Linked DNA regions of Rhinolophus ferrumequinum. The protein of the gene in region 1 binds, or shares a complex with, the protein of each later gene. Links are inferred from orthologs where the notes say so. Each region holds a gene or a part of one and is shown on either strand. Other genes may lie near its edges. The genes, in order: CDK2AP2, MTA2 and MTA3.

What was found.
Region 2: CDK2AP2 (region 1) and MTA2 share a complex: the UniProt entries of both Homo sapiens proteins name them as parts of the nucleosome remodeling and deacetylase (NuRD) repressor complex. The link is inferred for Rhinolophus ferrumequinum from reciprocal best matches to the Homo sapiens genes CDK2AP2 and MTA2.
Region 3: CDK2AP2 (region 1) and MTA3 share a complex: the UniProt entries of both Homo sapiens proteins name them as parts of the nucleosome remodeling and deacetylase (NuRD) repressor complex. The link is inferred for Rhinolophus ferrumequinum from reciprocal best matches to the Homo sapiens genes CDK2AP2 and MTA3.

The regions. Positions count from the first base shown.
Region 1 is NC_046294.1:4,748,058-4,751,567, forward strand, and holds CDK2AP2 (cyclin-dependent kinase 2-associated protein 2), read left to right. Parts: upstream 1-775; 5' UTR 776-1,348; coding exon 1,349-1,430; exon of another isoform or gene 1,431-1,572; intron 1,573-1,737; coding exon 1,738-1,838; intron 1,839-1,925; coding exon 1,926-2,058; intron 2,059-2,429; coding exon of another isoform or gene 2,430-2,497; exon of another isoform or gene 2,498-2,545; coding exon 2,546-2,706; 3' UTR 2,707-2,936; downstream 2,937-3,510. UniProt on the Homo sapiens protein: Acts as a component of the histone deacetylase NuRD complex which participates in the remodeling of chromatin.
Region 2 is NC_046294.1:8,178,189-8,181,932, reverse strand, and holds the start of MTA2 (metastasis-associated protein MTA2), read right to left. Parts: upstream 2,961-3,744; 5' UTR 2,334-2,960; coding exon 2,306-2,333; intron 1,608-2,305; coding exon 1,540-1,607; intron 1,154-1,539; coding exon 1,060-1,153; intron 1-1,059. Other genes in the region: EML3 (echinoderm microtubule-associated protein-like 3), read right to left, coding at 3,341-3,544, 3,634-3,744. UniProt on the Homo sapiens protein: May function as a transcriptional coregulator. Acts as a component of the histone deacetylase NuRD complex which participates in the remodeling of chromatin.
Region 3 is NC_046296.1:42,203,618-42,207,361, forward strand, and holds the start of MTA3 (metastasis-associated protein MTA3), read right to left. Parts: upstream 2,500-3,744; 5' UTR 2,427-2,499; coding exon 2,399-2,426; intron 739-2,398; coding exon 671-738; intron 1-670. UniProt on the Homo sapiens protein: Acts as a component of the histone deacetylase NuRD complex which participates in the remodeling of chromatin.

The DNA.
Region 1 (3,510 bases):
CATAAGGCCTGAGATAGAAGATGGAGTCAGAACACGTCTGTTGAATGAATGAATGACCTAGGGATGAGAAAAATCTACAGACTTGGGGGGGGCGGGGCATGAAGGGCACACAAGGCCAGAGAAGTCTGGGGAGAAGTAGCCTGGGAGAAAGGGTTAGTGTTTGGAGGAGAGTGTAAACTCTAGGGTAGTGAGGAATGAGATTTGACGGGGGGTCTGGGTGGAGAAATGGAAAGATTTTGAGACACTGGAGTGAGACAGAAAAGAATGAAATAATAAGCACTTTATGAATATTTATTTAATCCACACAACAACCCTGATAGTTATTACCGTCCCCATTTTACAGATGGAGAAACTGAGTCATATTGAGGTGAGCAACTTACCCAAGGAAAGATCGCTAGTGGGGATGGTGTGAGATTTAAACCGTCAGTCTGACTCCAGTAGGTACTCTTGTCCATGGTCCACTTGCTACAGAGCCTGGCATGCAGTATTTAATGAAGATTTGTTCTTCCTGCTACTGTCATTATGAGGCATAGGCGTGGGACCTTGGCGGAGCACGTTGAGAGGAGTCTCTGAAGTCGCCCTTGGACCTAACGCCAGCGTAGACCGGAGAACGAAACAACTTGGAGGAAGACGTGCGGCGGTGGCGTTGATGAGGTACCCGTTGCCATGGGAACAAACGCAGGCTTTAGGAAGGCGCATGCGCAGATCGGGCACAGGTTGTTGAACCGGCGAAAGGTGACGTAAAAGCGCACGGGGTGGGGCGCAGGGCTCCGAACGTCAAAGCCCGGCGTCCTCCGACATCCGGAGCAGAGGAAAGGCGCGCTGCGCAGCGGCGGCAGCAGCCCCAGCTGAACCAAGACCCAGCGACACGGAGCTGACGTGCGAAGCAGCGCGAGCGAGGCGTGAGGGCGGTGCCCGCGCCCGTGAAGACCTCCTCCGCACAAACCGCGGCGTACCAGACCCAGGTCCGGGATTCCGAGGCCCCGCCTCTCGGGCCTTGGGACTAATCGGATAGAGAGCGCGCGGGCCCTGGCCGCGAACTCGCCAATTGCGGAGGGCGTCGGCCACCGCCCAATCCGGAGCAGACAGGTGCGAGGTCCGGAAGGCGGAGACCAATCAGCAGCGGTTGCGACCTGTTGGAGTCGTTCTCTACCATTGAGGAGGCCCGAGTGACATCTTCGCTCACCAATCGGGAGTGAGGGAGCGTTTGTGCCCGCCCGCCCTTCCGGCCTTAGCTCTATTTACCAGGGGCGTGCATCCCGCCTGCCAATCAGAGCGCGGCTGAGTGGCCAGTCAGCCAACCCCGGAGGAGCGGCCGGCCGGTGTCCCCCGCGCCCAGGAGTTGGGGATGTCCTACAAACCCATCGCCCCCGCCCCCACCAGCACCCCGGGCTCCAGCACCCCTGGGCCTGGCACCCCAGTCCCTACAGGTGAGGATCCAGTTCCACCACTGCTCGCGTGCCCGGGCGTTCGAGGTCTCGAAGAGAAGATGGCCTGAGTTCTGCAGTACTGGGCCTGCCGCCTATCCTCCCTGAGCCTCACTTTGCTGGCCTGTGAAGTGGGCGTGGTCGTGTAAGGGCCTGATGGGGTGCAGGGGGAGGGGTTTGTCTCTGAAGTTGAGCAGCCTGGAATGAAGAATCTCTTTGGAAGGAATCGGGTGAATCCGGTCGGGGGCTTGGAGCGCTGGGAGGAGGCGTCCCTGTCCCGCGCTGACCTCTTAACTCGCGCATGTTGCAGCCGGAAGTGTCCCATCGCCGTCGGGCTCGGTGCCGGGAGCCGCTGCCCCTTTCAGACCACTGTTTAACGACTTTGGACCGCCCTCCATGGGCTATGTGCAGGTGAGTGGGACCTAGGGAATTGCCTATGATCGGGGACTGGAGGCCCCATGGGGCCTGAGCTCACCTCCCTGTTCTCTTTTGACATAGGCAATGAAGCCCCCCGGCGCTCAGGGTTCCCAGAGCACCTACACGGATCTGCTGTCTGTCATCGAGGAGATGGGCAAAGAGATCCGGCCCACCTATGCTGGCAGCAAGAGCGCCATGGAGCGCCTGAAGAGAGGTGAGTGACACCAGGTTCGCCCACCCCCTCATGCCACCCTGCTCCCCCAGGAAGGAAGGACATCTGGAGGCCACCTGAGCCAAACCTAGACTAGGGCCAAGATCACTATCCAGAGGTGTTGTACTGAATTGAATTGAAACTGAGTCAGTTTCCAGGGAAGGACCAGGGAATTTGTATTTAAACGGGGCAAATCTGAGGATTAGCTAAACCTCTAATCTCATCCAGCCCTTCATTTGATTATAGTCCCTCTTACTGAAAGGAATGGGGGTGGGGAGGGAGGGGTCTTCCTCTGGAGGGTGAGGGTGGGACTGTGGAGGGTCGCTGAGACCCTGTATGTTACTTCCCCATCCCCACCCTCACCCCCACCCCAGGCATCATCCATGCCCGGGCCCTAGTCAGAGAGTGCCTGGCAGAGACAGAGCGGAACGCCCGCACGTAACAGGACGCGCCTCCGCCTCCAAGTCTGGACCTTTTCCGGCCACTGCAGGTCACCTGCTTCTCCCTGGCCTTCATCCCGAGTTGCGCTTCCTGTCCTGTGTCCCTTGGTGGGTGCCCTCCAGAAACCAGGGGTGGTTCACTCCAGTCGGCAGCACTAACTGGGACCCCTGCCATAGTCAGCAGCAAGGTCACTGTGAGTCCCACCCATGACCTGCCAATGGTGTTGATCCAACTGGAACTTTCTCCTTTCTGTGGCCCTCAGCACTTACCCAGGACTTCTCACCACTTTGTCCCAGACCCCTTCTCCCCCAGTGGGGCCTCAGAAGGCCTGTCACCTCCCTGCCTTGTCTCCTGGGCCATAGCCACTCTTTTCTCAGTGTGTCTTTTGCTAAACATGCCCTTTTTGTATAAATAAAAGATAATTTGGAGTTGTTCTCTCAGCGCTTAGTCTTTCTGAGTCTGGTACTTCTACTAAGCCTGGGTGGTCTGGGAAGAAAGAGGGAAAGAGAAGACTCGAAGGGTGGGAGAGGCGGACTGGGCCTAGCCCAGCCTTGCACCCTACCCCACCACCCCTTTGTCCAGTTTACTTTGGGAGGGACCCTGCCCCTGTCGGCCATCAGCCTTCCCAGGTGTAAGTAGTATTGGAGAGTTGAGCTCCTGTAGCTGAAACCCTGCCCTCCTTCACATGGTGCCACCAGGGGGCAGCACAAGGCCTTGGCCTCGTCCACCCCTGGAGGGCAATGTCACCATCCTGGGCCTAGAGGGCTCTACCTCTGGATTAGCAGTGATGCTTGGCAGGGTGGAAATGCCAGTTCACTTAAGCCACGCCCTCACATGCCTTAATGCCCTCACATCCTAAAGTGAATCAGCCCTGGAGTCTCTGAATACACACCATCTCTGACTCTGCAGAGAGGAGAGGGCACACCGTGGCTTTCCTGCCCCCCCAGCACCTGTGAAGCAGAGCCAAAGGGGAGAGGGCAGGCTTCCGACACGACTGAGACCCAGCTCTGTGCT
Region 2 (3,744 bases), about 3.4 Mb from region 1:
CCAATACCTTCCTCCCCAAGTAAGTGCAACTTGCCCTGAAACCTTGGTGGAAAGGGTTAACCTGGCTGGGCACCAACCAAAGTGGGAAGGGGCAAAAGAGCCACAGGCCCAGGCTCATTGGTGCATTGTTCCCAACCTCAGGGGGGGCGGGGTGGGGGGGGGAGGCCAGCAGGCTCCACCCCTCGCCTGTGTGCTCCGGAAACCCTGTGCTAAGAGGAGGGGACCACACCTCCCACACCCCCCCACACCCCTTCTGATTGGACAAGGCCAAGGTCAGCCCCTGCCAGATGGGCCTGGAAACCCCAAAGGGCCAGAGAACTTGGTAGGCCCGGCTCCTCCTTAACCCCTTCATGCCCACAACAGCCAGGAAGAAGGAAAATAATTTAGGAAGGAGGAAGAAGAAGGGGAAAGTCAAAGCAGGAAAGGAACAGGACACTAAAGAAAAGTGAAGGAGATATATTTTTTGAAAGAACGTGAAAGCATAAAGAGAAGGAAGACGACTACAGGAAAAGAGAAAGATATAAAATGGAGTAGAGGGGAAAACAGGAGAGGTGAGAAAGAGGAAGAAGTGCAAGAAAACTTTCCTCACTTCCTATTCTGTCCCGTCAATGTAGTCTCACCACCTGGTGATCACAATATAAGCCTGCTTCCCTGTTGTGCAGGCTTCTAAGTACAATCTCATCCTCTTCACCTTGACCTTCGGCCATGACCCATTGTCCCAACATACCCAAACTGTCCCCCAAGGGTCCTGCGTCTCTAAAGCTCCTCCTCATGCCCTATTTAAATACTATCATCTCTTTACCCACACCATTCACCTAGACACACTTACACACAAGACACATTCTGGCTCTCCTTATCATGGTCTCTTCGCGCTGCTTCCATCCAACGGTTAAAAACAGGCCTCCCTCCACAGAACAGGCATTTCCCACCCCCAAGCTCACACCCCTACCTAGGGCATGCAACCAGGAGAAACACCTGCAGGGACATGCCCAGGCCTCAGCTCACCGGGAAGGGGCGGAAGGGGAGCCGAGGGTAGGGTGGGGGTACAAAGACACTCACTGGCATTACTATCGGCCAGGCTGTTGAGGCTACCAGAAATATCCCTTCGCCGGAAAAGGCACACAACCTTTGCCTCCACATTTCCATTTGCAGTCTAGGGGGAGGGGGGAAAATGGCAGTGAAAACTGGTCATTTGAAAATAAAAATGCACAAAGAAGAGACTAACAACAATAAGTTTCTAAGGGATGTAGAAAACACCCAGAAATTAGGAATGAGACTTACATTTAAGCACAGACTTCCAAATCTCTTTCTTTAGCCCACAAGAGATAGAACACTAAAGTTCCCACTAAGCTCTAATAGCCAGCCTTTCCTGAATACATTGAATGAATGAATGAATGAATGAATGAATGAATGAATATGAATAGGTACTTAGGATAGGTTTCTCTCCCCACCCTCCCCCTCCACCTGAAGTTAGAGACCTAAGAAAAAAGAGATCACTTTGGGGAAGCGGGGTTGGCGGATGGATTCTGTTCCACTCACCTTGTTGAGCTCCTCAATCCGTCTAACCAGGTAAGGATTGCTGGAGGAGTTCTCAAAATAGACGTAATCTGTAGGAGGCGGTGAGGAATAACCGAAAAAATCAGGAGAAGACGGGAGAGCCAAAGTACTAGGGTAGGAGGAGACCAAAGCAGGCCTGGGAGGACCAAAAGTAGGTAAGGGTCCAGGTAGAGAGGACGCTGAAATGTGTAAGTGGAGAGACTAAGAGAAAACAAGGGATGCCCCTACCCCTGGCCACCTAGTTCTAAAGTCAGACCCTTCGTTCAAAAGCGAGCCTTCAGAAAGAACCAAGAAGCAGGGGGCTCCCCTGCAGTACCACCTCAGCGATGGGGTTGCACTCTAGGCTCAGGGAAGGGAGCAATTATTGTTCACTCTAGCGCAAGGCCCCCCCTCCTTTGTGAACCGAGGCGCACATAACGCCTGGGGAGAAGAAACCTCCCGGTGGCTCCCCCGCAAGAGGCAAAGCGGTCGCCCGGGCCCGTCGCGCCCCTTGCCTGCCTGTCAGCTCCTTTGGAACCACTTTCCCAAGCCCCGCTTCCCGACCCGGGGGACCCCAGACACAACCCTGAGAGTGCCGTCGGGGCTGCCCCCAGCCTCTCCGCGAGCCTCGGCGCCGGGTCGCGTCGCCGTCCCAGCACCCTCGCTCCCCGTGCCCCCGGTTCCGGTTCCGGTCCACTCTCGGAACCACGCCGCCGGGGGCCGAGGCGCTCTCGCCCAGGGCCCCGCAGCCCCCGCGCCCAGTACTCACCTCCCACCCGGTACATGTTGGCCGCCATGGCCGTTCCCGCCGCCGCCTCTGGCCGCACAAAGGGGTCCGGGAGGCTCGGGGGGGTAGGGCTCGGCTCGAGACGAAGCCCGGAGCGCGGGGCTGGCGCTTCGCGGAAGTCTCGGTCAAGCCCGCGCAGCCGGCACCTCCGCTGCCTCAGCCGTCGCGGTTCATCTCGGTCAGCGCTGTCGCCGCCGCTGCTACTGCCTCACACCGGGGACGCCGAGGCCGGCGCCGGTCCGCTCGGCTTCTTCCGGAACGAGCTCGGCTCCCGCCGGCCCAGAGCCAGGCTCCGGAGTCTCCCGCCCTCGCAGAGCCCCACCAGACTTCGGGCCCTGCCGGCCGCGGGGAAGGCTGACCCTGCCCGCCTCGGGGCTCGCCTCCTTCCGGAATACCTTCGGTCGACCGGGAGAACAAGGCCCGGCGCTCGACTCAGGTCGGAGAGCGAGACCCCACAGATCGGCCACTTCCGGAAGCAGTTCGGCTCCCTCCGGCCAACCGGGGCCCCGCGCTCGGTTATTTCCGTTGCAGCTCCGCCCCTCCTCCGACGCCGAGAAGAGTTGGGCTTAACTCTCTCCTCGCGGGAGCCATGCCGCTCCTCCTGCGGCCCCGAAAGACTCGCATGCCTGCGCTTCGCGGGCTTATTTGCAAGTGGCTTTGCCTGTCATTTGCATGAATGGTCTACGCTCCCTCACCCTTTCCGCGCTTCTCTTTTCCTTAATCCCCACCCCCACAGGGCCCCGGAGGCGCCCAGCCGCGCCCCACAAAAGGACTGGGAGGCGACTTTGCTTTTTGGTTTATTGCCCCTCAGCAGGCTGCGGGAATCAGGGTCCAGGCTGGGGCAGCCCGGCTCAGCCAGCGGGTCTATACAGTGTGTGCAGGGGTGCCGTTGTCCCCCTCCAGGGAAATGCGCGATCGGGAATGTCTCCAAGTCGAAGAAAGGGTCGGCTCCTGGTCCAGGGGTGTCGCGTGGGGCGGGGCCACGCCGCGGGACTGGTGGGCCCGGTCTGGCAGCGATCAGACGTCCAGAGAGGAGGCGGGGGACAGGGAGGGGGTTCGAGAGGGCGTAACAAGCGCCGGCCCCGCGCCCCCGGCGCCCAGCACTCGCCACTGAAAGATGCTGGCGTCTTTGCCACCCAGCGAGATGAGGTGCGAGTCGTCGTGAGTGAATCGAACGCTGGTCACGTGGCTGCCGTGGCCGCCGTACACAAGGCTTGGCGCCTGGGTTGGGGGAAAGGTCGAGTTGCGGGAGCTGCGCAGCCCCGGGCCCTGCTCGCCCGCCCAGCCCCAGAGGCCCCGGGAGGCCTCACCTTGGCGCGAGCGCACGGGTACTGGAAGAGGTGCACTTTGCAGAAGTCGTCAGCCACAGCCACCACGCGCTCGTTGTGGGAGCGGCACAGGGAGTTGATGTCGGTGCCATC
Region 3 (3,744 bases), on another chromosome or scaffold:
ATTTTAACACTATGAATTCTCATAAGCTACATAACTAACCCTTCAAGTGATTTGGAGGAAACCAGAGCATCATCTGAAATCTATGGTTTGTGTAGTTTGATTGTTTTCGTGTGCCTCTGTTGTGAAAGCTCATCTACTGCAAACAGTCATAATGCTTCTGATGTCCTAGACACCTGTGATCAGGGACAAACCTTCACGTAAAAGTTTTATTTGGCCTAAGGTACAAAGCTACTTGGGCCTAAAGTACAAAACCGGATTCTTATTAGTTAGCCTAGCCCAGAATTTTACAAATTCCCTTCAACATTCTATTTCCTAGTGTCCTTCTTCCAAAGCTAGAGGAGGAAAAAATTAATTCACTAAAAAGGTAGAAATACGAATTATGACTCTATATATAAAAAGGGACTGAGTTAGAGGAGTGACTTACTCTTGAGAGGTTCTAAGCAATTTGAAGAAATCTGCAGATATTAAATGTTCAATAACATTTAATATCAGAGGTAATTAGAAAAAGCAAAAGAATATTCAGAATCCCTAATAGCTCTCTAATGTGAAATCTCTACTTTCAAAGAGTCTGGGACTGAAAGTAAAATCACCTCTTATGCCCTTTACCCAATTACCTTCAATAGAAAACAATTATTTTTTAATATTAGAATCAAGAACACCAAGTGTATACCTTGTTGAGTTCTTCTATCCTCCTGATTAGGTACGGGTTGCTGGAGGAATTCTCAAAGTACACGTAATCTGTAATTAAAGAAAGAGCTTAATCTTTTCAACAGAAAGTTCACATTTGTCAATCTATGACTTTCTATGTTAGGCAATTCACACTCAAAATGAAGCATGTAATTCATTCCCTGGTAAAAGCAAACTTAGTAATGCAACCTCAATGTATTCTCATGTGCCTACAAATTCACAGACCCTTATATTCCTGCATTTTCATTTCAATTAATGTTTTATCAAGTTCTCCTACACTCTTGTCCCACACATGTCATTTCTTTTGTAACAAAACAAAACAACACCTCTTGTCATCATTGAATAGTCAGGGATGACTAAACCATGTGTCTTTCATACTATAACTGCTTCAACATCTTTTCCCTCTAATCCAATTTGCCCTGGAATATGCTTCTCACATAAAACTATCGATCTAAGACAAATTCCAAGCATCCTGAAAGGCCCAGCAGCCCAAAGTACATTTCAATCAACTTAAACAAAAAATAAACAAACAATCAGGTGAGCAGAGCAGGTAAGAGGAAGCACACTGACAAAACTTTTCCATAGCTCTAGCTAGGACGATAAGGGGGAAAAACGGAGAAGAGTGGATGTCACTTTCTGAGAGACAGAGCTCTCCGAGGTAGGATCAGTCTTTTTTATCACCTTTTACTATAAGTAATCCAGATCCACTTAGGGTCTTGTTATAAAAAATTGCTGAAGCCTTTCAACAAAAAAAGAATAAAAATTTTCAAGTGTGGCTTTTCCTCTCATTTAATAGGCTCACTGGAAATTTCCCACTGTGTGTTTATTTGAGAGGCTGGACTGCATTGTTATTGTCTATCTTAGTGGCTCTTTCCTGTCTCTTTTCTGCAAAGTGGCCTCATTTAGCCAGGCCATTCCCAACACCATCCATCAGGAGTTCAGCTAATGAGCACAGAAGCACAAGCAAGTCTCACACACAAACACACCACTTATCTGAATTATTATTTTACCAGGAAAGAGGGAGGAGGGCGTCGTGAGTAGGGAGAAAGTTTGTTTGACCTTATTTCTCTCTTCTGCAGAAGGCTGGGAAGGAGGCAGACAGGACAGCAAACGTCCAGGCAGAGCTCACCTCCCCACCTCTGGCTGCGGTGCCCTGGCCCCACTAAGCTCCATTCTTGGGGAGCAGGACAAGAAACGGAGGGTGTGAGGAAGGAGAGGTGCAGGGCCCTGTCCCTGCTAACAGGCCTGTCCAGCTGTGACCCCGGCTGGGCCCCCATCGCCCCCACCCCCACCCCACTGAAGAGAAGTAGAAGATGGGGGGATGTCCCCACCCCTCCAACCCCTACAGCCTAGAAGGCACGCGAGGAGAGACCACCCTATTAGGGGGCTCGACGGCCCATACCCCCATGGGAGTTCTTGGAGGGGGCGTCTGATAATTCACACCCCCAAGTACAGGCCCGGCCCTGAAACACTGGGCGGGTGGGGGAGGTGGGCCTAGGCCCCTCGCGAGCCACGGTGGGGGGAGGGGGTAGAGGAAGGGGAGGGGGTAGGGTGGGGAGCCCCGGCCCCCTCTGCGGGCCCCGGCGCCCCCTAACCCCCTGCGCCCTCAGTCCGGGCGCCCGTGGCTCCCAGCGGTTAGGGTGAACTCGCCCCGACCCCCCATTCCCGGAACCCGCTCCCAGACGGGCCGGGTCGGGCCGAGCCTTCCTACCTCCGACCCGGTACATGTTGGCCGCCATGTCCGCCCGCCCGCCCGCGGAGCCCGAGCCGAGCCCCGCCCGCCGCCGCTGCTGCCGCCGCCGCCTCAGCCTAGTCCGCCGCCGCCTCCGCCGCCGCCGCCGCCTCGCCACGGGGGGGAGGGGAAGGAGGGAACGAGGGGAGGGGGAAGTGAAGGGGAGGGGACGCCGACGGGTGGGGGCAGGTGCCCGCCCCCAGCCTCGGGCAAGCGAGGCCAAGTGGGCCGGGCCAGGGGAGGTCGGAGCGCAGCCGGGCCAGCAGGGAATTGGGGAGGGGTCCGGTTTGGGGGGTCTTGATGAAAGTAGAGGATCCTAGGGCAAGAGTCCTGACTTAGGAGGAGGCTTGCACTCGCAAATGCAGACGAGGGGCCATTGGAGAATTGGGCTGGGGGCAAGGGCTCAGCCTCCCCAGAGCCCCTATCGCCCCACCCAGTGTACCCTGTCACCTGCCCACCCTTAGACAGTCTTCCCCTCTGCTTCCGTCCTTGGGAGCCCCAGTAAATGTGACCTCGAGCACGTGAGTTCCTGTCTCGAAGCAAACACTTGGATGCAAATAAGTGCACGCGGCAGGGCGCCTTCCTTGTGCGGATGTTAATGCGGCGGGCCTGGAGCTTGTAGGCCCTAGGGCCAGAAGGACACCAGGTGCTGCCAGCTTCCCCAGGCAGAGACCCAGCTGTGGACAAGGCTAGAAAAGCTGGCTCCCTCCCAAGTCCACCCTAACTGCAGTGGCAGGTCTATCAACGTTCACCCCAAAACTGGGCTGAACAGAACCCACATCGGGAAGACTTGCCTCTAGACAGCCCCTGTATACAGAGCTGCCCTGCTGGGAGAAGAGGATGGGGGGGAGGGCGTTCCTTTGTTCACAGGGGAGCAGAGCTCTACAGTTCTTCACCAGCACCCTCAAAGGAGGGGACAGTGTCAATCAGCTTGCCGTTGATTGTTGGAGTTAACTTAGTTGTGTGCCTAAAGCTTTTACATAGTTATTATTTTCCCATGCTAATTCTCTAGACAATCCCTGTTTTCTCATCCTTCATATCCTCACAGAAATCAAAAACCAAATAAGAGTTGAATCGTAGCTGGCTATCCCCCACATGAGCACAAACAGCTTTCTTTAGAGAAGCCAATCCATTCCAAACTACTCCCAGGCATTGCTGTATAATAAACATGAAGATGATCCCTTACTGTGGTGGATTGTGTGAAGTTTCTGGTGATTTACAGCTATGCGTTGTTGACTCTGAGTTTGGGGTCTGCGCAGGGATGGGAGATGTCCCCAGAAAAGAAGACTGTGTTTTGTTTGTCTGGTGATGGCATTTGTGACGGT